Cricetulus griseus: one gene and its partner. The protein of the gene in region 1 interacts with the protein of each later gene in a pairwise test. Links are inferred from orthologs where the notes say so. Each region holds a gene or a part of one and is shown in the gene's direction. Other genes may lie near its edges.

Region 1 (15,568 bases):
CTTTCCTGGGCTTCTGGAATCCTCATCTGCCCTGGCTGTCATGGTGAATGTATTAGTTACTTTTCTGTTCATGAATTAGGCAACTTACAGAAGGACACATTTATTGTGACTTGCAGTCACAAGAGGGTTAGAGTCTATAAAGACAGGGCTAAGGCAACAGACAGGCATGGCAACTGGAAAAGGGTACTGAGAACTTACATCTCGAACCCCAGCACAAAGCAGATGGAGGGTGAACTGAAAATGGTGTGGTGTTTTTGGCCTCCAGCCACATGCCTCCTCCAACGAGGCCATATCTCCCAAACCTGCCTAAACAGTGCCACTGACTGGGGATCAAGTGTTTGAGCATCTGAGCCTGTGAGGGACATTGTCATCCAGACCTCTACAGTGAGATACTCCAGACCAGCATCTGAGCCTGTGAGGGACATTGTCATTCAGACCTCTACAGTGAGATACTCCAGACCAGCCTAAAAAAGAAAGGTTGGTGGCCACGTGTGGCCTCTGAGAGACCCTGGAGTTCTGAGCAGCAATCAACTGTCAAGTCCCAGACTTTTGTCCCTGGGCTCCTCAGGGCTTTCCACAGATTTCTATCCACAGGCCCTGCCTAGGAGTGTTCTGCCCTTGGTGCAGAGCTGATGTTGGGAGTGGGGCAGGAGCACAGAAGACAGGCACCTTTCCTGGAACAGGCTTGCCTTGGGCCTTCTTTCCATTCTTCAGTGGGAAGCAGTGTGTGCGTGTGTGTGGTGCAGTGTGCTCCCCCCTCGTACCTGAGCAGGGGAAGGATGGGAACTCATGTGGGTCATCCCAGGGCCCCCGTCCCTCGCCAGAGCCTTCTTTGTGCCAGGTTGTCATTAGTGAGAAAACAGGGTGGGATGCAGTCTCTGCTCTGTCACACCATCCTTTCCTGGGAAGGGCCCAGAAACTGGTGCGGCTTCCTGATGGCTGCTGCACCTGGCTTGCCAGGGCTTCATGGAGAACTGCCAGATTTGTGGTCAGAAGTAAGATGGGCTTGTCATTTCATTTCCTTTTTGTAATGATCAGGTCACAGTTTGGGGCCAGGGTTACTCTGGCCTTAGAGCTATGAGTGTTCAGACAATTAAACATTTGTAGAATTCTTCTCTGAAATCCCCAGGGCCCAGAATTTTTCTTTGGGAAGGTTTGAAGTTTAATTTATTTATTTGTTGTTAAGGGGCTGTTTATATACATTGTTTTATTTTTTTGTTTTTTGTTTTTGTTGTTGTTGTTGTTGAGACAGGGTCTCTCTGTGTGGCCCTGGCTGACCTGGAACTCACTTTGTAGACCAGGCTGGCCTCACACCCAGATCCGCCTGCCTCTGCCTCCTGAGAGCTGGCACTAAAGGTGAGCGCCGTCACCGCATGGCCATATTTTCTTTTTATGTATGCTTGTTACATTATACTAAGATATTATCCATCTCCCCGAGTTTTCACACCTTTGGGGTGAAGTTTCTGATCCTATCGGTTTTGCTCGTTTGCTTCTTTGAGATGGTGGTGACCCTCCAGCCTCAGCTTCCTGAGTCTTAAATGTTGGGAAACATCTCCCCCATGCATCATAGCACAGTTTTTGTTTTAGTTCTCTTTTATTCTTTTTTTTTTTTTTTCTTTTTAAGAGACAGAGTTTCTCTGTGTAACAGCTTTGGCTGTCCTGGAACTCGATCTGTAGACCAGGCTGGTCTCGAACCCAGAAATCTGCCCACTTTCGGCCTCCTGAGTGCTGGGATTAAAGGCGTGTGCCACCATGCCTGTCATCTTTGCTTCTTTCTTGATATCATACTCTAGAGTGTAGAGTTATTTATTTCTTCACTTACTACCTTTACAAAAGCCAATCATTGGTTTTGTTTGTTAGTTTCTGTTTCCTCAGTATTTAATGTTAATTTTATTCTATCCTTCCTTCTAGATTCACACACTGATCTTTTATTTCTAAGATATGTACCTAATGCTATAAATGTCCTTTTTCTTTTTTTATACAGTGCTAGAATGGAACCTCGTGCCTGGCACACAGCGACCAGCTCTCTGCCTCTGAGCTCTAGCCATAGCCAGTTTAGGTTTTAGTGGGGATTTTTGTTTTTTGGTTTTTTTGTATTGTTTTGTTTTTACATGTATGGGTGTTTTGCCTACATGTGTGCCTGGTGACTGCAGAGGCTTAAAAGGGTGTCAGATTCTCTGGAACTGAAATTACAGATGATTGTGAACTGCCACGAGGGTGCTGGGAACCAAACCCTAGTCCTCTGGAAGAACAGAAAGTACTCTTTTTTTTTTTTCTTTTGGTTTTTTTGAGACAGAGGATAATGCCTCCCTTGGAAAATCACCTGCTGGCCTTGAACTCACCCTGCAGACTCCTGAGTAACTGGGATTTACAGTTGTGAGCCACCAGGCCTAGGTGCTGTGAGTTCCCTTGGAAGGATAGCTTTACATACATTCCTTAAAGTTGTTTTTACCATTCTGCTCAAAATAACTTGGACTATCAAGTGTCACTTCTTCTTTGCCCCAGGTGCTATGTGAGCATCATTTTTTTTCTTAATTTCCAAATAAATGTATTTAAGTGGGAAAACTGATCTGACATGGTAAGGCTGGGTTTCATCCTATAGTCCTGCTCTCTCTTCATAAGATTGCACTAAGTAGTGCATCTCTGATCTTTCTAGGGACCCAATCCTTTGATTCAGGGATGGACATATTTACCTGGAGGTCAGTTGGAAGCTTCAGTAGGCCTCCATGGGGAAGAAGGCTCAACTCCCCGGGGAGACTGTTTTTGTTTCTGAGGTCTGAGCTGAGAGCAACTGTTCTTATCTGCAGGGGCAGCTGTGACAGACCAGGCATGCATTGCATTAGCACTCAGAAAACTCGGAGACAGAGTACATCTCTTGAACTTGCTGGTGACACAGCTCAAAAAGAAGGTGAGATTAGCCCTTAACACTTAAGGTTGTGCAAGCAATCCTACTGAAGAACCGGTCCAGATGAGAGGTGCCAGGTGTGACCTCACTGACCTTGGGTGTTTTGGGTGTCTTCCCAACTTCTCTTTTCTTCAGAACAAAGGACTGTGCTGTGCAGTAGCTGGTTTATCTCATGTGTGGCTATGAATTATTCACAGGGAAGCCTGATATGGTAGGTGTCTGTAGTTCCAGCGCTCAGGAGGTAGTCAGGAGGATCAGGAATTCCAGGTCATCCATGGCTACAGACAGAGTTGGAGGCCAGCCTGAGACACATGAGACCCTTTCTCAAAACAGCAGCAACAACAACAAATGCACACACACATACACACCTACTCACACATGCACACATACATTTACACACACATTTCAATGCTGTAGACAAGTAATAAGAATTTAACTTAAAGCATTTTAATTTCTCTTTGATAACTAAAGACAGTTGGAATAAACTGGGTAAAATATTTACCTCCAGTCAGGTATGATGGTGCATGCCATTAATCGTAGCACTTGGGAGGTGGCGACAGGCAGATCTCTGTGAGTTTGAGGTCAGCCTGATCTACACCAGTTAAGTTCCACACCAGTCAAGGCTACATAATGAGATGCTGTCTAAATAAAAACAGGTTTACCTTCAAGTGTTTTCATTTTTTATTTAACAGTGTCTGATCACCTAATGGTCCCTTTGGTATATACAAATTAGTCACCAAAGTCTCTGGAGTAGAAGCATTCTTTTTTGTGTTGTTGTTTTTGTTTTTTTGGTTTTTTGTTTTTCGAGACAGGGTTTCTCTGTGGCTTTGGAGGCTGTCCATGAACTAGTTCCTGTAGATCAGGCTGGTCTCGAACTCACACAGATCTGCCTGCCTCTGCCTCCTGAGTGCTGGGACTAAAGGCGTGCACCACTACCGCCCAGCTCTTAGAAGCATTCTTTTAATGCCCTTCACCTAGACTGGGAAGCCAGACTACAAAGAAGTGTATTCCCCATCTGCCTAGTTCTCCTCCTACCTGGACCTATGGCCTGTAACTTCTCTTTCTGAGTTTCATTTCTGCCACAGCCACTTCTCCCACTGTCATTTATTTTTTTGAAGCATAGGTTCTCTTGTAGCCCAAACTGGCCTCACACTTGCTGAGAATGACCTTGAATCTCTGATCTTTCTGCCTCTATTTCCCGTGTGATGTTGGCATCTGAGCCCAGGGCTTCATGCACGCCAGGCAAGCACTCTGTCCACTGAAGTACGTTCCCAGCCCGTCACTCCCTTTTGCTGCCTCCCCCTCAAGATCACTTCCCTCTTATCTCCTTCTGCAAACATCACCACTCCCATTTTTTGGTCTTTTGAAATGGTCTCACTACATAACCCTGGCTGTCCTGGAACTCGCTTTATAGACCAGGCTGGCCTTGAACTCTCAGGGATCCACTTACCTTTACCTCCCAAGTGCTGGGATTAAAGGTATGGGCCACCTTGCCTGGCCTGTCATCCACCCTTTGGATAGAAAGGACTTCCTAGTCACCAGCAGTGTTCTAGAGGCAGTTGCATCTTCCTGGGAGCTAGGGCTCAGGATAGAGTTGTAACCTACTTTCATTCACAAATTCTCCCCAGTAAGCCTTCATGTCCAGATGGATTGCACAGAAGTGAAACACACCCTGTAGAGCCAGAGAAGGAACTAGCCATTGGCCTTGCTCCGCCCCTGCACCTCATACTCCTGTCCTTCCTGGGACAGTCCCCCCCCCCCCCCCCGACCTCTGCCTAACATTGCCTTCTGAACTGGTTGCCTAGCTGTGGCAGAAGCCCCTGGAGCCGGTCACTGTCCAGCATGAGCTCCCCGGTGAAGTGGACCAGGTGCACCTGGAGGTTGTGGAGCTGCAGAAGCAGGTGGCTGAGCTGAGGAAGCATGTCAAGGTGGCCGGGCCCCGAGGAGAGCCTGCATACACAGAGCAGCTGCAGAGAGAGGTGGGTGCTGGGCAGGCATGAATTTCCTCCCACCCTAGCCTGTAACATGCTTGCTGGCACGTGTTTGGGTTCCCGATCTGTGAGGCCAGATGTTGGTGTCCAGAGGTGACACCCCAGACACCTCCTCTTTTTACCCACGGTTTTCCTCTGTGAGCTCACACCTCTAGTTCTTTTTTTTGGCTGGCTGTACTATTGCTGGAATGGAGCCCATGCCCTCTTTGATTGAAAAAGTCTTCCTTAGGAAACACACTGTAGAGTATGCATATAGACAGGCCTGGGCTGACAGCTAAGAAGGCTCTATGCACAGACCCAACCTGCCTGTGAGAGAAGAGGCCACAGAGCACTCAACATCTGGCCAACACTATGGCCAGGGCTGAGACATGGTCAGCTGAATGTCCACCAAACCCTGCGACAGAGTCCTTGCTTCCCACTGAAGGCCCCAGTGGAACCATGGATAGGAAGGGCGACAGCCCTGTTCCCCTGCTGTGTCGCCGGGGCTCTGTGAGTCCTGCCGGAACCTGGGGTGATGTGTACTGACTTACAGTGACCTTCTGGCCCTGCACTGACCTGCTGTGATCTCCAGCGAGTGACCGGTGATATGACTCCCTGCCAATTGACTTGCAGTGACAATAGTGACTTATGGTCACCTTTGGCTATCTGTTCTGACCTATAATGGCTCATGGCCACCTGTGGTTACCAATGGTGACCTGTTAATCACCAGAGGTCATAGGCATTCAGCTGAAAAGTTGAAGATAGTATGTATCCTTGTGGCCCCATATTACATGTACAGGAGCATAGCAGATAGCCTCTGGTATGGTCTGTGTCTAAGAACAAGCAGAAAAAGAAACAGAACAGGGTTGGGGGCTGAGGGAGCCCGAGGTTCTAGCAAAAGACTGAACTGGCCAACATTGAAGTAATGAGCAGTACTCGTTCCCAAGGGTTCTTGCACCCAGCCCTCCCCAGGCCCTCAGACCTCCCCACAATCCAGCAGTCCAGGGGGAACAGGTAGGTCAGCACTAAATATACACACTAAATTTTAAATAGTGAGAGACTGGGTTAAAGCGGTAGACCCAGACCTTAGCAGTCGCATATGTAAAACACAATTTTCAGGTATCTCTGTTCCTGTTGGGTCTTGGTATCTATGATTTTGGTACACTGTGAGGTCATGGCTGGCAACCACTGCCCAGCAGCATGTCCCCTACCTGAACAAAGTGTTAGGTATGCAGGAGAGGCCAGGAAGTCCGTGCTTCCAAGGGAAGCTAGAGCCATGTAGTGATATGTAGAGAAATGGTTGAGACACACACTTGCCCATCCCCACTGTCCTGAGGGCCTTGCAGCCGCCAGCACCCATGTCCAAAGGTAGCTCTAGAATCTCTCGCTCTCTTCCTTTAACAATGCCAGTTCCACATGGATGTATGAGGAGGGTACAGATAGCAGCTGTGCGGGACTCCACCTGACCATCAAAGCCAGGAAAGACTGCAATCCATCTTCATAGGAAGTCCTAACGTGATCTGGTTCAAGTGACAGACACGTGAAGACAGGGAGGCCAGAAAGATGCTGCTGCCAAGCGTGAGGCCCCAAGCTCCATCTCTGGGACCTACATGGTAAAAGGAGAGAACCAACTTTACAGCTCATCCTCCACAATGTGCACACCATGACACGCACAGCAGCCTATCCGGACAGACAGCTGTAACACAAATGACTTAAAACAAGAAAATGTGAAGTGACTCCCCCACAGAACATTAGTGAGTAGACGAGACAGACAAGGCAGTTGAATGTAGGTGTGGAGCTTGAGGTAGATGCTTGCTGAGAGCCAAGGTACCCTAGCCTCCGTCACAGCGCTCCTCCCCCACCCAGTCGACCTTGATTGCAAGGTGAAAAAGTTCTTTCATTGTCGAAACCTAAGGACACCAGCTTGACCAACGTCAGCACCAGGACACTAGCATCTGTGCCTAAGTGGAACATACCCAAGACTCACTTTTGGGGTCCCACCAAAGCACAAAACCTGAACCTAAGGAAGAGGTGATCTCAGACAGAACCAGTGGAAGGACATCTACGGATTAGCCCCTCTGGACACCTCAAATGTCAGTGTCATAAAATAAAAGTGAAGCCTGGGGGCCGGGCGGTGGTAGCGCACACCTTTAATCCTAGCACTCAATTGGGAGGCAGAGGCAGGCGGATCTCTGTGAGTTCGAGACCAGCCTGGTCTACAAGAGCTAGTTCCAGGACAGCCTCCAAAGCCACAGGGAAACCCTGTCTCGAAAAACCAAAAAAAAAAAAAAAAAAAAAAAAAAAAAAGTGAAGCCTGGGAAATCTTCCAGCTATAGGCAAGGACACCTGCACATTCATACTCTGGGGGTCTTGGACCCTGGAAAGGGATCCAGCTTGGAGGGACGTGCTTGGGAGGCCAGGTGGGGTCACCAGGATCAGCAGTGTGCCACAGTCCTTGTGCAGGACTGCAGTGCCTACGTGGGAAGGCACACTGTCTCCCCGCCTCCCTCCCCCCACCCCCCCATGCTTCAGGAAGAGGCATGTGTACAGAGGTGGGCAGGGAGCGGGGCAATACCTTTCCCAAGGCAGAAGTCTGAGACAACCCCTCCAACTCACCTTTCAGCTTCTATCACAGGCTAGTCTTCAGCTGGCGGTGGTGGCACACACCTTTACCTCCAGCACTGTGGAGGCAGAGGCAGGTGGATCTCTGTGAGTTCAAGGCCAGCCTGGTCTACAGAGATAGATCCAGGACAGCCTTTGAAGTGATAGGAATCTCCTACTAGGCTAAGGTAGAACCTCCCTCCAGGTCATCCCACCTCTCTTAAGACCTGAGTTCCTTTGTATTCTAAGGCCCCTTGAGATGGGGAATGCTTGGGCCTCTAGTGTAGTAAGGCCAACACTCTCTGGGAGTATTGTGTACTTGCCTGTCTTGGTCCTGTAGGTCCATAGGACCTCCTCTAACCCAGAGTTCCTGCCTCTGCTGTGTCTTTCTGTGAGCCCTTCAATCCCTTGTGGCCTGCGGCATATGCCAGAAGCAGCTGGATGCAGTCACCTACAGGTGCAATCACCCACATTCTCCAGGCTACCTAGGGAACAGTAGCACCCAGAGGGCACAAGCACATGCCAGCTCTGGCAAGGACCAGGAAGCCAGAGCAGGCCATGCAGGGTGTTCCAGGGCATGGAGCTCTAGCACCCAGAATAATAGCAGTTGCCATGGCTTCTCAAAACTGTCAAGAAGAGGTGGGCCATGCTGGAGCCTGGTCTTCCCGATGCCCCTGTTCTCATCACATTGTGACTGGATTTCTGCAGTGTGTCCAGGCTGGGCTGAGTGAGGGGCACATGGAGCTTCCAAGGGGTTCATATCTGTTTAACCCTGGCATAGTGCACCTCCTCCCAGCAGCCTTTGCTTTCTCCTGTACTTTCTCAGGGAAGGGAGGCCTAACAGGCAGGTGGTGAAGGGGTGAGCCAGAGGGGAGATGAAAGAAGGGGAGAAGGAGGAGCATGCCAGCCCTTGGGCAATGGGGAAGGACATTAGGAAGGTCCAGTCAACACAGGCCAGAGGCAGCAGAGTGGGGCCCACAGCAGTGAGAAGTGGCTTGGCCACAGGGCCCTGTGACCACACAGGGCTCAGGCTTTCCAGGCCTAGGTTACTGCTAGAGGCTGATGGGAGGCCTTTCTTTCTTCTAGAGCAAAGCCAAATGCAGATGAGTGTAAATTCTCTTAGTCATCTCCACTTGAAAGACACAAAGCTCAGCAGGGACTCCTGGGGTAAAAGCTCTGGGCTTGCAGGGCGCAGGAGTAGGGAGGCTGAGAACTAGGCAACTCTCTCCCATCCCTGGGAGAGAAGTAGCTCACTGAAGTCTGCGTGCTGTTCCCAACCCCCAACTCAGTTAAAGCATGGGGCATAGTCACTCTTTTACCCCCAACTCAGTTAAAGCATGGGGCATAGTCACTCTTTCTTTTTCCCCCAACTCAGTTAAAGCATGGGACATAGTCACTCTTTCTTTTTCCCCCAACTCAGTTAAAGCATGGGGCATAGTCACTCTTTCTTTTCCCCCCAACTCAGTTAAAGCATGGGGCATAGTCACTCTTTCTTTTAGAAGGATGTCACCAGTGAGCCCCCTAGCCGTGGTGATTCTGAGAGGGCAAGTGAGCAGCTTGGTGGACCACATACCAAGCTTACCCCCCCCCCCAACTCCCGGCGTGGTCTCCAGCAGGCTCTCTGGAGTATCCCTCAGGACTGTGTCTTGGTTGGGTTTTGTGTACAGGGCCTGACTGACTGGAGACCCATGGTCACAATGGACCAGACAGAGTTCACTAGTCTCCCCCAGGAAGGGGCACAGCCTCCACAGACCCTATCTGTGCCACATCTGCAAAAGAAACTGAAAGATGCAGCTAGGAAAATACGCAGCCTCAGCCTAGAGAGGGAGCAGCTTCTGGAAATGGGGAACAGACTCCGAGCAGAGCTGGGCCATCCTAAAGGTAGGCACCTGGGAAAGGTGGTGGGCCAGGCCACAGTTGGGGTCGTGCCAATGGGGAGGGAAGGTGGTGCCATGGTTCTGCCTGCCACAGGAGGCCAAAAGAAAGGAGCTTCCTGGCTTGCTTGCCACAAGCCTGGGGCCAGAAGGAGAGCTACAGGCTGGCTTCACAGAGGCCACTGGTGGTGGAATGGAGCCAACCAGAGGCCTTAGGCACAGAGCAGGGCTTCATCTCAGCACTGGGTGTCCCTTGACCTACTGCTCTGGCCACATCTGGAAGAATCAGCCATGGAGCAGCTGAGGTCCTGTGAGGCAAGCAACAGGGCAGTTCCAGACCAGCCCACTGTGGGTGTCCCCAGATAGTACAGCATTGTCTATAGATACTCAGTTGATTTCCTACAAGAAACAAGTATTATTTGAGTCCCAGGATTTTTTGTTTGTTTGTTTGTTTGTTTGTTTGTTTGTTTGCTTTAAATGTAAAACAGATGGGTATAGTGACTTGTGCTTGTAATCCCAGCGCCCAAGAGGCTGAGACAGAAGGATCACAAAGTCCAGGCCAGCCTGGACTATGGTGTAAGACCCTCTCTTAAAATCAAATTAGGGCTAGATCTCAGTGCCCACTGCAGGACTGAGACCAAGACCAGCCAAGGCTCACAGCCCTGGGAATGGGAATATAAATATATAAATATAGGGATCCCCAAATAGTCCCTGTTACTACAGGCCAGGCAAAGCGGATATCCATTTGGGCTACCTTTTCCCTCTGTTTAATGCTGTCTCTCCCCCAAATCAGAGCCCAGCAATAGTCCCTGCCTCTTAAAATGCTGCCTCTTACCTTCCGTAACATCTGCCTTTGTTTATTTGTTTGAAGATTTGTTTTTATGTGCATTAGTGTTTTACCTACAAGTATTTCTGTGTGAGGGTGTCAGATCCCCTGGACCTGGAGTTACAGTTAGTTGTAAGCTGCCTTGTGGGTGCTGGGAATTGAACCTGGGCCCTCTGGAAGAGCAACCAGTGCTCTTAACCAATGAGCCTGGGTTTTGTTTTTTGAGACAAGGTCTCATATAGCTCAAGTTGGCCTCAAAAGAACTCCCTGTGTAGTCAAAAACAACTTGAGCTTCTGAGCCTCCTGCCTCCGCCTCCCAGGTACTGATGGGTTGCCAGCTTGAACTAACACACTCAATTTTCTGTTGGCTGAGGATCAAACCCAGGGCTTCACACATGCTAGGCAAGCATTGCACTAAGATACATCCCTAGACCTGGTACCTGAAGTTTTAATCCAGCACAAGGGAGACTAATGCAGGAACATTGTGAGTTCAAGACCAGACTGTGCTACAGAGTGAGACCCTTATATAAAAAACTAAATCAAGGGATTGGAGCTATGGCTCCACATTTAAGAGCACTTGTTGCTCTTGCAGAGAGCCTGGGTTTGGTTCTAGCCCCCACTTGGTGTCTTACAACTATCTATGACTTCAGTTCTGGGATATCCAACACCCTCTTCTGACCCCATAAGCACCAGGTATGCGTGTGCACACATGCAGGCAAACCACTCATACACATAAAAATAAAATAAAAAAATAAATCTAGGTTTAAAAAAAAAAACAAGAATTACAAGAAAACAAAAATGAGCATCTGGGGCTAATCCACATTTGGGTGACGATGCCAGCGCCTCTTTGTATATGCTCACTTTTTCCAGTTCACCACGTGCACGCCATGCATGTTTGCACTCAGCTCACACCCTCATCCATAGACTTCCAGGTACATGGTGTGCACACAGCCTGCTTTTCCTCCAACAGAGCACGCTGTGCCTCTGGAGTCATTAGCAAGCTGATTCCTAGAAGAGAGGGGACAATGGCAGCATTGATTTCTTCCTCCTTCCGGTGGCCTGTTGGTGGCGTCTGCCAGCAGCTTAGTGTCTGTCTCCCACAGACTGCTCTCTGCCATCCTCTATGAAGCTATGAAGTGCTGGAAGATGCTCACAGCAGAGGATTAGAGTCCCCTTTGACCACAGCCCCACAAAAAGTAAATGTTCACTAGAAGATCGCGATAAGGAAAACCTCTCATTGTTTATTATGTTGTTTACTTCTGGTTTGTATGCCAAGTATCAAACCCAGGGCCTTATGCATGCCGGTCACGTGCTCTACCACTGAGCTGCATCCCTCCCCAGCCTTGCCGGTGAGAATTTTTTTTTTAAAGATTTATTTATTTATTATGTATACAGTGTTCTGTCTGCCTGCACGACAGAAGAGGGTACCAGATCTCATTACAGATGGTTGTGAGCCACCATGTGGTTGCTGGGAATTGAACTCAGGACCTCTGGAAGAGCAGCCAGAGCTCTTAACCTCTGAGCCATCTCTCCAGCCCCGCCGATGAGAATTTGATTCATCATGAATGGTTTGGGGAAAACCTACCTTGCTAGTGGCCTATGGCGTCCTATGATACCTGCTTATGATCCCAGCACTCAGAAGGCCCAGGCAGGAAGATCATGAGTTCAAGACCAGCCACAATCAAAAGTAAAATAGAAGACGACTGGGGCCCCAATTAGCCTCCCCTGTGGTTACAGTTGCTGTGGTTCTGCTCTCCAGAGCTCGTGTACACAAGCTGTCAGGTCTGTGTGCTTAGTAATCACAGTGGCACACGCATCCAGAAGCCTACTGCCAAAATACATTAATTGTGAAGGAATAGCTTTAGCAGGAAGTTCACCTGATGAACCGATTGTATGAACTGTTATAACCCTGCTGCTGTGCATCTCTGGGCCCTGGCAGCAGCAGTCGTCTTCACTTGGCACCCTCAGACCCCACTAATGGCCCCTGCACCTCCTTTGGAGGAGACCTGAATTGCATTTCACCCTCTGAGGCTTTTCTTTTAGCTGTTCCTTTAGCAAAAACTTGTGGGCAAAGCCTTCATCAGATCTCCATGTCTGAAAGGTGCCCTGGTGTAGCAGCTGCCTAGAGCCACGGCTGACCTGGAGCTAGAACTCTCAGTTTGCTTTTGTTTTTGAGACAGGCAGGGTCTCACTGTGTAGCCCAGGCTGGCCTCAGCCCCCCATGTGCTAGAATCACAGATATGTAAGCCAAACCTGGTTTCTACAGTCTGATTTTAGAGAAGTTTCTCACGTCTCCTAAACATATAGTCAGCTACCAGTCTGGTCTTGGCTCCTTGGTGAAGGGCATGTTCTACAGGATACATTGCTTTGTTTTGATCTTTTTGTTTGTTTGTTTTTTGTTTTTCCGAGCCAGGGTTTCTCTTTATTACTTTGGAGCCTGTCCTGGAACTTGCTCCATAGACCAGGCTGGCTTTAAACTCACAGCATGGGGAAACAAGGCCCCAGGCCACTCAGGCCTTGTCCTTAAACGGCATCCATGCCTCTTAGCAAAGGCCGTGAACGCTGCAGCTATAAACATAAGTGACCCTGCTATAGTGGTGCACGCCTTTAGCCCCAGCACTCAGGAGGCAGAGGCAGGCGGATCTCTGAGTTCGAGACCAGCCTGATCTACACAGAGAAAGCTCCAGGTAGCCAGGGATGCATAGTGAGGCCCCCTCTCATGTCAGTCATCACCATCTTTATGTCAGGCCAGGTGTCATAGCTCGTGGGAGACTAAGACAGGAGACAGATAACTGTGGGCCATCCTGGCCTACAGAGCAAGACCTGTTTCAAAACAAAATAAAACAAAAAAAGCTCAAAGATGTTTAGGTTAACTTAGAAAAACAAGTCAAATTAAATGAATAAATCAAATTATTCATCTGATTTCACTGTCATTTCTCAATGAAAGAACATAGAATCATTATGGCTATAACTTCTAAGTTTATACACATAAATTTTCCCTCTTTTGTTAAGGTTTTTTATTTTATGCATATGAGTGTTAAAGTTGCATGTGTATCTATGTACCATATTCGTGCCTGGTACTTAAAGAGGCCAAAAGAGGGTGTTGGAAGCACCAAAACTAGAGTTATACATGGTTTTGAGACACTGTGTGGGTGCTGGAACTGAACACAGGTTCTTTTTAAGAGCAACAAGTGTTCCAAATAGCTGAGCTGTCTCTCTTCAGCTCTCCCCCCCCACACACACCTTTTTAAAGGGCTTTGCTGTGTCATCCAGGCTGGCCTCATCTTCAGCACCCACAGCATCAGGGACAAGTGCGAGTGCGCGTGCTTGAGCGGAGGCCCTTCCGTATGTTGTGAATGTTTCTCTTATTGGTTGATGTGTAAAGCTATTTCCGCCGATGGACAGGAAGGATGTAGCAGGTAGGAAGTATAGTCTGCCAGACTATAATTGTGAGAAGAGGAACTCAGGGGGACGCCATGTAGCTGTCAAGAGAGCAAGAGATGCAGGTATCACCAGTAAGCCAAGACCATGTGGAGATACACAGATTAATAGAAATGAGTTAATAATTAAGAGAGAGCTAGACAATAAGAAGCCTGAGCCATTGGCCAGACAGTTTATAATTAATATAAGCCTCCATCCACAGACCCCTGCACAGGCACATGTGTTCCTTGATGCACTGCCCAGAGGCCTGTTTGAGTGACCGTTAGCAAAATACCTTCCTTCCACTGCTCTGTGCAGCTGTCCGAAGGTTAGTGTTCCGGGTTGGGATTAGGCTGGAAATTACACTGTGTGTCCCTGAGCTCTGCTAGGGGATGGTGTGTCACAATTCACACATGACCTCTGCTCCCAAGTTCTTTGGAGTAAAGGTTGCTTTGGTTTTGAAAAGTAGTCTGCTGTCCTTTGTGTTCAAGAAATCCTGTCTGACACACACAGGGAACCAACCCTTTCCTCATCCCATTTCCAGGGAAACTGACTCCTTGCACACTTCCTCCCACCTCTGAGTCCCGGGACCCCCGTGAGAGGCCTGAGACACCTCTAGACCCTGGCCTACCTTTGAAACAGTTGCAGCCCCACTCAACAACTCAGGTAACTTCTTCATCTAAGAGATCTGTTAACACTTCCCTAAGTATGGGTTTTCATTAGACAACTACAGAAGATAGCAGAAGAGCCTCTCGGTGCTGGTGGCATCACACTCTTCCTACTCCTTTGCTTTTTATTTGCTTTGGCTTTTGGAGACAGAGTCACACTATGTAGCCCAGGCTAGCTGGAACCCTGGGCCCTCCTGCTCAGCCTCCTGATTACACAAGTGCCCTTCCATGCCTGCTCTTGGATTTGTTTATGGTTTTAAGTAACGAATTGTACATATGATTTACTATAGCTTTACCCATACGGGTATTACATTTTTACTTTGTTTGCTTTTCAAGATAGGGTTTCTCTGTGTAGCAGCTCTGGCTACTACTTTCTTGTTTTTGTTTCTGGAGACAGGGCTTCTCTGTGTAGCCTTGGTTGTCCTGGAACTCACTCTGTAGAGCAGTTTGGCCTCAAACTCACAGAGATCCACCTGCCTCTCCCTCCCAAGTGCTGGGATTAAAGGCGTAAACCACCACTGCCCAGATGGTATTATATTTTTAATATTTGCCAATATAAACTTTTAAATTTGTATCTTTACAAAAATGTCTTGGTGCTGGAGAGATGACTGGTAGTTAACAGTGCTTGTTGCTCTTCCAGACACCCAAGTTTGTTTCCCAGCACCACTGTCAGGTAGCTTATAGCCTCCAGGAACTAACTACAGCTCCAGGGTCTATCTTAGTTTGCTTTCTATTGCTATGACAAAACACCAGAACCAAAGAAACCTGGGAAGGAAAGGGTTTAATTGGCTAACCCAACCAAAGTCCATCATGAAGGGTGTCAAGGCAGGAAACTAGAGGCAGAAACTTAAGCCCAGGTCATGGAGGAATGCTGCTTACTGGCTTGCGTCTCATGGCTTGCTCAGCTAGTTGTTGTTTTGGGGTGTTTTTATTTATTTATTGTATTTTATATGTATTGGTGTTTTGCTTGCATGTTTGTACCCTAGGCGGGTGCCTGGTACCTGTGAAAATTACGAAGAGACATTAAATCCCTTGGAACCGGATAGTTGTTAGCCACCATGTAGGTTCTGGGAATCAAACCTGGGTCCTGTGGAAAAGCACCCAATCTCTCCAGCCATTAGCTTGTTTTCTTATACAGTCCAGGACCATTTGCCCCAGGGTGGCACCACCCACAGTAGGATGGGCAGGGCCCTCCCACATCCATTATTAATAGAGAAAAAACCCCTGCAGAGCAGAGTTGCTGACAGGCCATGGACTCTAGTATGTGTTAAGTTGACAAAAAACTTTGTCACAATTGACCCCTT
Region 2 (13,282 bases), on another chromosome or scaffold:
AGATCTCAGGCATGCTTGGTGCCAAGACTTTACCTGAGTTATTCAGTTTTCAGAATCCTAGTCAATGCTAGGAAAGTACTTTTGTTTTGTTTTGTTTTTGTTTTTTGAGACAGGGCTTCTCTGTGGCTTTGGAGGCTGTCCTGGAACTAGCCTTTGTACACCAGGCTGGTCTCAAACTCACAGAGATCCGCCTGCCTCTGCCTCCTGAGTGCTGGGATTAAAGGCATGTGCCACCACCACCCAGCGGAAAGTACTCTTAAAAACTGAGCAACATTCCTAGCCCAATAAATTATTTTCCCAAAGTTACCAAGTGACACTTTCATTTAGTGAAATCTGAGTGTATTTCACCATCCTAAACATTGGTTTCACCTGTTAGAAAGCAATCAAAGTTCCTACTTCTCTGTTTTGTAGAAGTAATTAGATGTGACATTAAAATGAGTTGGGACTAGGGCTGGACATGGTGGCACAAGACTGTAATTGCAACATTCAGGAAACAGATATATCTATGAGCTGCAGGATAGTATGGTCTACATAGTACTAGGCTAGCCAGGGCTACATAGTGAGACTGTCTCAAAAAATAAAAAGCAGGGCCTGGAGAAATGGCCCAGCATTTAAGAGCATAGGCTGCTCTTGCTGAGGATCAGGGTTGATTTCAAGCATGAACATGCTTCACTCCTTTTGTAACTCCAGTTCCAGGAGAGATACCTTCTGGCCTCCGAAGACACTAGGCATACTTGTAGTGCACTATATACATACAGGTAAACCACTAATCCACATAAAATTTAATGAACATAAAAATAAGCAAATAAGAAAAAAAAATAGGGACTGAGGATATAGCTCAGTTGTAGAGTACTAACTTAATATGTGCAAGGTCCCCAGTTTGATCCCTAGCAACCACAAAAAACAAAAACAACAAAAAGCCCTACCCAAAACCAAAGGATTAAGCCAGTATTTGGCTCCCAACTTTATAAATTGGATGGGTACCATCAGCTGCTCTTGATTCATTCAGCATCACCTGATGATGGCCTAAAGGCCAGGAACTAAAACCCCCTTAAAGGACCCTTTATTCACTATTCACGTGCTTGGGAACTGAAGGTGCTGTCAGCTGTGGCTACTGGAGCTTTGAAACACACATGTCCTTTTTATTTTAATTATCCTTTTTATTCTTTAAAAATGTGTATTTTATGTGTATATTTGAGTGTGTTTCATGTATGTATATACCCAGAACCCTTAAAAGTTAGGTGACTCAACTTGAACTGGAGTTGCAGATGGAGTCAACATGTGGATGCTAGGAGCTGCACCCCAGTCCTCTGCAAGAACTTCTGGGTAATCTCTCCCACCCCTAAATGGCCTTTTTATTATGTATGTGCACCACATGTATGCATGGTGCCCTCAGAGGCCAGAGGAGGGCATCAGATCCCCTGGAACTGGAGTTACAAGTGGTTTTGAGCAACCATGTGGGTGCTAGGAACTGAACTTGGGTCCTCTAGAAGAACAAGTGTTCTTAACTGCTGAGCCATCTCTGTACCTCCCTATCATGGCCTCTTAATATGGCTTTGGCTTCAGATTTCAAGGATGGATGTCTAGATATTTGCAGTGTGTTTTTGTTTTGTTTTCTTCCATGCTGACACTTGAATCCAGGACCTTGCAAATGCTAGGAAGGTGCTCACACATGCCAGCTTTGCATTGCCTTTTTTCCTAACCTGGCCTTGAAGGCATTGTTACTTTTGCTATATCACACTTTCTGTTCCTTATAAAAGGACTCACAAAAACTGTATCATGTTCAGGAGGACAAGACTTGACTTCTTTTATATGGGAGAAGTGTCAACTTGTGTTAAAAAGTACAACAAACCACATATGTCAGTGCTTAAGGAATCGTTGCTATCATGGTTGGTGCCTGGAATCAATCACCTAAGTTGTTTGTTTTGTATTTATTATATACAACTATACAGTGTTCTGCCTGCATGCTTGAAGAGTTCAGGAGATGGTGAGCCGCCATGTGGTTGCTGGGAATTGAACTCTGGACCTCTGGAAGAGTAGCCAATGCTCTTAACCACTGAGCCATCTTTCCCTAGGCTTACTCTTTTTTATGAGACAGGGTTTCTCTGTATTGCTTTAGGAAGTTGTCCTGGAACTCGCTCTGTAGACCAGGCTGGCCTGGAACTCACAGAGATCCACCTGTCTCTGCCTCCCGAGTACTGGGATTAAAGGTGTGTACCACAGCCACCCAGGTCCACGTCCAGCCTGTTTTAAAGGCTTTGTTTTAGTTTGTAAAAAAGAAGACAATTACAATTTAGGATTAAAGGTAAAATTTTGCTAAGGAAGGGCACCTGTAAACTTCCACCTCTGTGAAAAAGTTAGGCACTTGCTAAGCCTGTTTCTTTGTTGCTATTTTTTTGAGACAGGGTTTCTCTGTGTAACCACTTTGGCTGTCCTCCCAGAGATCTGCCTGCCTCCCAAGTGCTGGGAGAGTGCCACTACTGCTTCCTGAGTCCTGGGATTAAAGATATTTACCCCAGCCGGGCGTTGGTGGCACACGCCTTTAATCCCAGCACTCGGGAGGCAGAGGCAGGTGGATCTCTGTGAGTTCGAGACCAGCCTGGTCTATAAGAGCTAGTTACAGGACAGCCTCCAAAGCCACAGAGAAACCTTGTCTCAGAAAACAAACAAACAAAAAGATATTTACCCCAAACTGGGCGTTGGTGGCTCATGCCTTTAATCCCAACGCTAGGGAGGCAGAGGCACAGGGATCTCTGTGAGTTCGAGGCCAGCCTGGTCTACAGAGCGAGTTCCAGGATAGTCTCCAAAGCAATACAGAGAAACCCTGTCTGGAAAAAACCAAAGATAAATAAATAAATAAATATTTACCCTAGGCCTAATTACAACTTTGGTTTTATACAAGAAAAATACTTCATGAAGTGATAGACACCAAGAAGTCTGTACTAGTTATTATTGCTATATGTGGTGGTTTGAATGAGAATGGACCACAAAGGCTCATCCCGTGTTGGTGGGGCTGGTTGGGAAGGATTAGGAGGTGTGGCCTTGTTGGAAGAGGTGTGTCACTGGGCCAGGTTTGAGGATTAAAAAGACTGGCACCTTCCAGTGTGCCCTCTCTGGCTCCTGCATGCAGATCAAGATGTGAACTCTCAGCTGCTGTCCCAGTGCCATCCATGCCTGCTTGCTGCCTGCCACTTTGCTCCCCACACGATGATCTCCTATCCCTCTAGCACTGTAAACCCCAATAAACCCATCTATAAGTTGTCTTGGATCTGGTGGTTTTTGGTTTTGGGGGCTTTGTTTGTTTTTGAGACAGGATCTGGAACTTGAATTGTAGATCAGGCTGGCCTTGAACTCGAAGAGATCCACCTGCCTCTGCCTCCCAAGTACTGGGATTAAAGGCATGTGCCACCACCACCCAGCTGGATGTGATGTTTTAATCCAGGAATAAGGAGCACAAGCAACAAACTGTTGAGTAAGAGGACCAGGGATGTGAAATAATGAAGACAAAAGCAATAGCTGGAACCAGGAGGTCTTGAATGAGCTGATGATTGATTTATTTTGTTTTTTTTGAGACAGGGTTTTCTCTGTGGCTTTGGAGGTTGTCCTGGAACTAGCTCTGTAGACCAGGCTGGCCTTGAACTCACAGAGATCTGCCTGCCTCTGCCTTTCAACTGCTGGAATTAAAGGCGTGTGCCACCAAGGCCAGGCTATGAACTGATAATTTATGCCAAGGAAGTTTATTAAGTAGCACAGCATCATATATACTATTTATGGGGATTGGGAGGAATGGCTAAGGTCCAGCAGAGAGCTAAGTCACACATGTTGGCAAAGACAACATAGGATACCTCTGACACAACTCAGGACTGATAACCACAGTCCAGGGAGAAGAGTTGAATCATCAGAAACCACAGCCTTGACTCTTAAGAGGCATCAGACAGGCCTTGCAAGTATGTTCCTGGACAAGGACACAGAACTAAATTTTCTTTATCCTTTCATCATAGCCTCTAAGATAGTCTTGGGTAGGTCTGGTCTCCCCACTGTTATCTCAGCAATAGAAAAGAAAAGTAAAATACACTGTATCTTCTTCCTGAAAGGACCAATGGCTTTCTGTAACTCACACAAAAATACTGCCTGATGCTTCAGTTTGTCATTTGTCACAGCTGAGGGTGATGAATGCACACAATGGGAAGAAAGCATCAGCAAATCAGCTCAAACTCAGAGGGTAGGCTTAGGGGCTGAAGAGGTTGCTCAGCACTTACCGCTCTTGCACATGACTCAGATTCCATTCCCAGCACCCACTTTAAGCAGCTTGTAACCACCTATATAGCTCCAGCTCCAGGGTATCCAATGCCTTGTATTTTCAGGGCACCTGCACTCACACAAAATTTCCCCTACCAGGCACATGCACATAAAAACATATTAAAAGACAGGTACTGGGGCTGGAGAGATGGCTCAGCGCTTAAGAGCATTGACTGCTCTTCCAGAGGTCCTGAGTTCAATTCCCAGCAACCACATGGTGGCTCCCAACCATCCGTTATAAGATCTGGTGCCCTCTTCTGGTGTGCAGATGTACACGGAAGCAGAATGTTGTATACATAATAAATAAATAAAATCTTAAAAAAGACAGGTACTGAAGCCGGGTGTTGGTGGCGCACGCCTGCCTTTAATCTCAGCACAGAGAAACCCCTGTCTCAAAAACAAAACAACAAAAACTGAGGTCAGGCTTTGGTGGTGCCCACCTTTGATCCCAGCACTGGGGGAGGCAGAGGCAGGCAGATCTCTGTGAGTTCAAGGCCAGCCTGGTATACAGAGTGAGTTCCAGAACAGGCTTTAAAGCTACACAGAGAAACCCTGTCTCCTAAAACCAAAAAAAAAAAAAAAAAAAAAAAAACTAACTACTTTAGCAGTACTTCAAGGTGTAACTTCCGGTGAGTTAAAAGGTTGGTTTTCTCTAAAATGTAACTTTATTTTGTTGCCTTTCTTTTTCTAAAAAACACTTTGTTGTTTGACCCCTGGAACTGGAATTATAGACAGTTCCAGGGGAGCTGCCATATAGGTGATAGGAATTGAACCTAGGTCCTCTAGAAGAACAGTCAGTGTTTTTAACCAAAAAGCCGTCTCTCCAGCCCCTTTGTTGGTTCTTTTGAAACAAAGTCTTGCTTTTTAGTCTTGGGTTGCCTGGAATTCTCTATGTAGACTGGGTTAGCTTAGAACCCACCTTCACCTGTTGCCTCTTCAGTATTGGGATTAAAGGTGTGTGCCACCATATCTAGCCAAGTTGTTTTATTTTTGAAACAGGTCTTTACAAATTTCAGACAGTGGCCAGGCACTGGTGACACATGCCTTTAATCCCAGCACTCGGCAGGCAGAGGCAGGCGGATCTCTGAGAGTTCGAGACCAGCCTGGTCTACAAGAGCTAGTTCCAGGACAGCCTCCAAAGCCACAGAGAAATCCTGTCTCGAAAAAAAACAAAACAAAACAAAAAACCAAAACAAACAAAAAAACCCGAATTTCAGACAGTGGTCTTAAAATTTGTAATTTTTCCTGGCTAGGCTTCCTGAATAGCTAGGGAGTACAGGCATGCACTGGCAGGCCGGATTTATGTTCCTATTATCTTTATTTACGTGTGTGTGTGTGTGTGTGTGTGTGTGTGTGTGTGTGTGTATGTGTGTGTGCATGGCTCATGGCTAGAGGTCAAAGGATTACTTTTGACAGCAAGTTCTTTTCTGCTATACAAGTCCTGGGGATTGAGCTAAGGTCCTAAGGCTTAGTGACAGGTGCCTTTACCTGCTGAGCCACTTCAGTCAACTGTATTTAAATACTATTTATTTGCTTGTTATTCATATAGTCTCACTCAAGCCCAGGCTGTACTGAAACTGATTTTTTTCTTCTTCTTTTTTTTTTTTTTTTGTTTTTTTTTCGAGATAGGGTTTCTCTGTGTAGCTTTGGAGCCTGTCCTGGCACTTTCTCTGGAGACCAGGCTGGCCTCGAACTCAGAGAGATCCACCTGCCTCTGCCTGCCGAGTGCTGGGATTAAAGGCGTGCATTCCTCCTGGCTCAGCCTCTCACAGAGGGTTGCCATCAATAAATGATTTTAAAATATTTTGAACTACAAAAATCACCATTTGTAAAAAGGGCAAAAAAAAAAAAAACAACCCCGTATTATGTGAGTTTAATCTTTTAAAAATATTTCAGTATGAGTGTTTTGCCTGCATGTGGGTCAAAAGAGAGCACGCCTTCTATTTATTTATTTATTTATTTATTTATTTATTTATTTATATTTTTCGAGACAGGGTTTCTCTGTGCTGGCACTTGCCCTGGAGACCAGGCTGGCCTCGAACTCGCCTCCCGGGTAGAATTAAAGACGTGCACCACCACGGCTCAGCAGAAAAAGCGCCTTTTTATAAGCCACCGAGAGTGCTGGGCATCTGGATGAGCAAAAAGTGCTCCTAACCGCTGAGCCATGTCTCCCACCCCTTGGTTCTAATCTTCACACACCCACCAAATAGTTTCCCTTGTTTTTAATATGAAATCTCTTAGTCTTTTCTCTTCAAAGATACACCACCAATTGCCGGATCTGATGAGGAGATTACCGACGTGCACCACCACGCCCATGCCAGACACCTGTCGGTGCCTCGCCATTCCGTGCAGGCGTTACTGGAGACCAGTAACCAAGAAGCGCCCATACTTCCGGCCAAGAGAATGGTGGGAAGCAGAGCTCAGAGAGAAACCAGAGGCCTCTGTTGCCCAGGAGGTAGCGCGCGCAAAACTCCACAGAGCAGCTTCCGGCCAGGGCCTCGTCGCCGTGGAGACGGTGGGGCGGGGACGCCGGCGCTGGGCGCGAAAGCCCTGGCCGCTGGCCTTCACTGCAACCTCTTCCCGGCGTCCTCTGAGGAGTCGGCTCCGTCAGGTACGAGGCCATGCCTAGCACCCCCAGCCTTTGAATGGCTGGTCCTCCTGCTTTAAAGCCAGCAGAGCGCGGGGGAGCTGGGCGCTGTGACGGCTCTTTCTCCTGTAGAAGTGTAGGAAATGGTGCCTATCCACAAGGCTTTGGTCTGTGCGTGGAAAAGCGAGCAGAGCGTGCGTGGAATGTGCCCTCCTTGCCCTGGCTGCCCTCGTGCTGCTTTTCCAGGGCCTGTGCATCTTCCTCCCCTGGTGGAGAGCTCTTCTGGGTGATCTTCCGCCTGCACAAAGTTTATTGGCTTACCTAGATCCAGATTGGATTCAGGGGTGTGCCTGGGTGACGGACTCTTTTTGTACACTGATCTCAAGTGACCAAGTCGAGAGCTGAACCCGCGTTGCATTTGTACCACGGATTCTCTTCTGGTATAGTTCCCGAAGGTGTATAGAGGCTTGAATGCCACTGGCACCCGTGCCACCTGTTAGCCGATGACCTTGAGCATCCCCCTGGAAAATGACAACAAATACCTGATGAGGTGGCTGTGTTAAAGTTGGTCGTTCAATGAAAGTGCTGAGAGAAAGTATAGAACCTTAGCTATAAATGTCATCTTAATTGTAGCCCGTGTGCCTTAGGCACTACACATATGTGGTACACAGACAAAACATACATACACATAAAAATGATTAAGTTAAAAATTTTAAAAATACCGCAGCATGGTGGTTGTGCACTCTATTAGTCCCAGAACTCGGGAGGCAGAGGCAGGTGGATCTCTGTGAGTTCGAGACCAGACTGGTCTACCGAGCAAGTTCCAGGACAGCCAGAGCTACACACGGGCTACACAGAGAAACCATGTCTTGAAACAAAACAAAAGAAAAATATATGTGAAATTGGTTAACTGTGGGAAATAGTTTGCCCCAGGGCTACTACCAGTTTGCTGAATGCCAGAAGAGGGGACCAGATCTCATAGATGGTTGTGGGCCACCATGTGGTTGCTGGGAATTGAAGGCAGGACCTCTGGAAGAGCAGTCAGTGATCTTAACCACTGAGCCATCTCTCCAGCCCCCTGTATGATGTTAAGACTTATCTGTATTTAAGCATGTAGTAGTATTGCATTTTTATTTTTTTAATTTTTAATTTTTTTCTGATACAGGGTCTCACTATGTAGTCCTGGCTGTCTTAGAATCAATCATAAGCTGGTCTTGAATTCAGAGATCTTCCTGCCTCTGCCTCCCAAGTGCTAATAATGGGGATGTGTGTCAACATGCTTGACCCTGAACATTTTTGTATAAGCTTGTGTATGGACATGATTTCAGTTTTCTTTGGTGTATGACTAGTAGTGGAATTTCAGGATCAGTTTGTCCTTTGTTACCATCTCATGAGGTCAGTCTGCATGTGCAACTGTGAGCCAATATCTAGCAATCTTGTTTTATCTTGGGCTGTCTTTGTAATTAATATTATGTGTATTTCAACTTAGAAACAAATTCATGTCCCTGTGGAGAATAAACCTATCTCCTAGCCTTTCCAGTACTTTTAAATTTCACCTGTGAGGTTCCGGACATCTTATTTGTTTTGAGACAGGGTTTTGCTACATAGACTGATTGGCCTCAAACTTTCAGTGATTTGGGGGCTGGAGAGAGGGCCCAACACTTAAGAGCACTTATTTTTCTAGTAGAGGACTCAGGTTCAGTTCTCAGCATGCACACGGTGGCTCACAATTGCCTGTAACTCCAGTTCCAGGGGATCTGACACCCTCTTCCACTAATATACACAGAATAAATAAATCTTTTGTTTTTAGAGACAGGGTTTCTATGAGTGCTGGGATAAAAGCCAAGTGCCATCACCACCCGTTTTTCTGTTTGTTTTTGTTTTTTGTTTTTTATTTTTGTTTTTGTAAATAAATGTTAAGAAAAGAGGAAAGCCTGAAGAGCTGCTCCTGTCTCTGGGGTTACAGGTATGTGGTACCATGCTCTGTTTTTCACTGCTGATGATTAAATCTAGAATTCTTTTCATGAAAGGATAGCACTATAAAAACCATCTCCAGCCCTAAATGTAGATTTGATATCAGTAAACAGTTTGCCTGGCATGAATAATATCTCTTTTTTTTTTTTGGTTTTTCGAGACAGGGTTTCTCTGCGGCTTTGGAGCCTATCCTGGCACTTGCTCTTGTAGACCAGGCTGGTCTCGAACTCACAGAGATCCACCTGCCTCTGCTTCCGAGTGCTGGGATTAAAGGCGTGCGCCACCAACGCCCAGCATGAATAATATCTTTTATAGTTCACTTGTTACTTGTTTTCATTATGGTCTTAATCGTGATGATGACTTTATGTTTCTGGAGTTTTGCAAATCACAGTCACTCAGTGCAAGTCACATTCACCCATTAGCTTAGCTACATTGTGTATTATTGTCTTACCTCTTGGTCTCATTGCTTGTGATTGTTTCCTGTGGCTTTGTAACCATCTGCCGACAAGTTGGTAGCTTCAAACAATAATACGTTTATTCCCTCACAACTCTGGAGATCAGAAATATGAAGTTAAGGGTCATCCTCTCTCTGATGGTTAGGGAAGATCTCTTCTATAATTTTCTCTTAGCTTTTGGAATTGCCAGAAATCCTTGGTGTCCCCTAGCCTCTAGACACAAACAAACAAATAAATGTAATTTTTAAAAAAGGTTTATTTATTTATCATATATACAGTGTTTTGCCTGTATGTATACCTGCAGGCCAGATGAGGGCACTACATCTAATTACAAATGGTTGTGAGCCATCAAGTGGTTGCTGGGAACTGAACTCAGGACCCCTGGAAGACTAGCTAGTGTTCTTAACTACTGAGCCATGTCTCCAACAATAAATGTAATTTTTAAAAATTAAAAAAAAGTTTAAAACTGCATGAAGATTCTTATAGTAACATTGATAACTGAAAAATTAATCTGGGGCTGGAGAGATGGCTCAGAGGTTAAGAGCACTGGCTGCTCCTCCAGAGGGTCTGAGTTCAATTCCCAGCAACCACATGGTGGCTCACAACCATCTATAATAGGATCTGATGCCCTCCTCTGGCCTGCAGGGATACATGCAGAACACTTATAGACATAAAAGAAAAAATTAAAAAAAAAGAAAAATTAATTTGGGGGAACACTAAGTTCTCTTGACTGCTAATGACAGATATCAAGGGAAATTAAAGATACTAGAACATTGTTGGGGCTGGAAGAATGAGCCTGTTATATCTTGCTTCTTCTTATTCTTTTTTTTTGTTTGTTTGTTTGTTTTTTTCGAGACAGGGTTTCTCTGTAGGTTTGGAGACTGTCCTGGGACTTTCTTTGAAGACCAGGCTGACCTCGAACTCACAGAGATCTGCCTGCCTCTGTCTCCTGAGTGCTGGGACTAAAGGCATGTGCCACCACTTCCGGCTGCTTTTTTTTTTTTTTTTAATTGTATTATGGCCAGGTGTGATGACTCATGCTGTTTCAAGCAGTCAGGAGGCAGAAGCAGCTGCATCTATGTGGTTTGAGGCCAGCCTGGTCTACATAGTCAGTTCCATGCCAGTCAGGACCACATAGTGAGACCCTGTTTTAAAAAACAGTAACAATAACAACAATAGAACTTTACTGTCAAGAAAGGAATTTAGAAAACATTACACCAAAAGTAGCCAGCTTCAAAGACAGTTCACTTCTAAACATTTAGAGTAGCCAGCCATTTGGAAAGGAAGCTGTGGAGCTTTGTTGGATTTGATGCATTCACTATCAAACATGTATTTATGCATTTAACCGCTACCAAAAACGAATTGCAAATACTTGTGGTGGTAGGTTTTTTTTTTATTTTTTTTTTTATGTGGTGGTAGGTTTTTGTTTCATTATTTGTGTGTGTGTGTGTGTGTGTGTGTGTGTGTCTGTCTGTCTGTCTGTCTGTCTGTCTGTCTATCTATCTGTGTATTTATGTGAAGGTTAGAGGGCTTTTTTTTTTTTTTTTTTTTTTTTTTTTTTTGGTTTTTTGAGACAGGGTTTCTCTGTGTAGCTTTGGAGCCTATCCTGGCACTCACTCTGGAGACCAGGCTGGCCTTGAACTCACAGAGATCCACCTGCCTCTGGCTCCCGAGTGCTGGGATTAAAGGCGTGGGCCACCAACACCCAGCAAGATTTATTTTCTTTTTTCGTGTGTAGGAGCATTTTGCCTGTATGTTTGTATGACTGCACTACATGTGTTCCTGGTGCTCTCAGAAGGCAGAATAGGATATCAAATCCCCTGAAAACAGGAATTACAGGTGTTAGCTACTATGTGGGTGGTAAGAACCAAACCCAGGTTCTCTGTAAGAATATCAAGTGTAGAGGACAACTTTCCTTTCTTCCTTCCTTCCTTCCTTCCTTTCTTTTTTAATTTTTCTTTTTGTGATAGGGGTTCTCTGTGTAGCTTTGGAGCCTGTCCTGGAACTTGCTCTGTAGACCAGGCTGGCCTTGAACTCACAGAGATCTGCCTGTCTTTGCCTCCCGAGTGCTAGGATTAAAGGCATGTGCCGCCACAATCTGACTCAGAAGTAACTTTACTTTTTTTTAAGATTTTTTTATGTGTGCTCATGCTCTATCTGCATGTACACCTTTATGCCAGAAGAGGGCATCAGAACCCACTATATATGGTTGAGAGCCACCATGTGGTTGCTGGAACTTTAACTCAGGACCTCTGGAAGATCAGCCAGTGCTCTTCAGCCCCTAGAAGTAACTTTTTTTTTTTTTTTTTTTTTTTAAAAAGAATCATGTATCCCTGACTACATTACAGATGGTTGTGAGCCACCATGTAGTTGCTGGGAATTGAACTCAGGACCTCTGGAAGAGTAGTCAGTGAGTGCTCTTAACCTCTGAGCCATCTCTCCAGCCCTAGAAGTAACTTTTTAATAATATAAATTAGAAAGAATAAGTGTCTTGGCTATATTTATGTCAGCTGATACAAGCTAATGTTAACCTGAGAGGGAACCTCAATTGAGAAAATGCCTTAATAAGATCCATCTATATGACATTTAATTTCGTTCTTTCTTTCTTCCTCTTTCTTTTTTTCTTTCTTTACTTCCTTCCTTCTTTCCCTTCCTTCCTTCCTTTCTTTTTATTTTTTTCTTTTCCCTTTTTTTTCTTTCCCCCCCTTTTTTATTATTAATTCAAGTTAGGGAACAGGCTTGTTTCACATGTAAGTCTCCTCTCCCTCTCCCTCCCCTCACCCCCCTTTCTTTTTATTTTTGAGACAGGGTTTCTCTGTGTAACATCCCTGGCTGCCTTGGAACTATGTAGACCAGCCTGGCCTCAAACTCATAGAAATCCACTTGCCTCTTCTTCCTAAGTGCTGGGATTAAAGGCATGTACCACCACTGCCTAGCTATAGGACATTTTCATAATTAGTTTCTGATTAGGGAGGCCTAGCCCATTGTGTGTAGTGCTATCCCTGTCAAGGTGATCCTGGGTTCTATAGAAAGTGGGCTGAGCAGCTGTGAGTTCAAGACCTGCTCTTGAGCTAGTTCCAGGACAGCCTCCAAAGCCACAGAGAAACCCTGTCTTGAAAAACCAAAAAAAGGGCTGGAGAGATGGCTCAGAGGTTAAGAGCACTGACTGCTCTTCCAGAGGTCCTGAGTTCAATCCCCAGCAACCACATGGTGGCTCACAACCATCCATTGTGAGATCTGGTGTCCTCTTCTGGTGTGTAGATATACATGGAAGCAGAATGTTGTATACATAATAAATAGACAAATCTTTAAAAAAAAAATTGGGCTGAGCAAGCAATTATGAGCCAGCCAGTAACCAGCACCCCTCCATGGCCTTTGCATCAGCTCATGTCTCCATGTTCCTGCCCTGTTTGAATTCCTGTCCTGACTTCCTTCAATGATGAACTATGATAAGGAAGTGTAAGCCAACTAAACCATTTCTTCCTCAAGTTGCTTTGGTCATGGTGTTTCATCACAGCACTAACAACCCTAAGGATGGTAAGAGACTTTCTATGCTAAGTTAGTAGAATGAAGAAGTAGAGGGGCAGGGAACTCAGAGTGGGAAGGCAGGTATTTAGAAGTGTAACCTCTGGGAGTTTGCAAGCAACTTACTCTCTTTTATCTCTTTCTTGCAGTTATAAGAGGAAGATAGAAGACTTTGGTTCTCAATTATCTGATCACAGAGAATCATACCAACCAGTGGTTGACTTTCCATCAAAAGGGTTCAGCAGAGAATGGAGAAGAAAACTGTCTCCAGGTATGTGATGGAACAGCAAAAATGACAGCTAAAGTTACCATTCAACCACAGCAATCATGAACATAAGCCACCGCACCTGGCTCATGTTGAAATATAATGTTTGGTAAAAAGTATGACATTTCAGCAGCTGCTGCTGGTGGTGGTGGTGGTGAACACCTTTAATCCCAGCAC

What was found.
Region 2: the proteins of Ccdc57 (region 1) and protein SFI1 homolog interact in a two-hybrid assay, tested with the Homo sapiens proteins (2 studies listed by BioGRID). The two-hybrid records come from large-scale screens. The link is inferred for Cricetulus griseus from reciprocal best matches to the Homo sapiens genes CCDC57 and SFI1.

Annotation. Positions count from the first base shown.
Region 1 is NC_048600.1:133,350,835-133,366,402, reverse strand, and holds part of Ccdc57 (coiled-coil domain-containing protein 57), read left to right. Parts: intron 1-2,807; coding exon 2,808-2,908; intron 2,909-4,710; coding exon 4,711-4,884; intron 4,885-6,285; coding exon of another isoform or gene 6,286-6,303; exon of another isoform or gene 6,304-7,027; intron 7,028-9,143; coding exon 9,144-9,357; intron 9,358-13,819; exon of another isoform or gene 13,820-13,924; intron 13,925-14,140; coding exon 14,141-14,262; intron 14,263-15,568. UniProt on the Homo sapiens protein: Pleiotropic regulator of centriole duplication, mitosis, and ciliogenesis. Critical interface between centrosome and microtubule-mediated cellular processes. Centriole duplication protein required for recruitment of CEP63, CEP152, and PLK4 to the centrosome.
Region 2 is NW_023276807.1:101,721,784-101,735,065, forward strand, and holds the start of protein SFI1 homolog, read left to right. Parts: upstream 1-6,365; 5' UTR 6,366-6,910; intron 6,911-12,989; 5' UTR 12,990-13,088; coding exon 13,089-13,111; intron 13,112-13,282. UniProt on the Homo sapiens protein: Plays a role in the dynamic structure of centrosome-associated contractile fibers via its interaction with CETN2.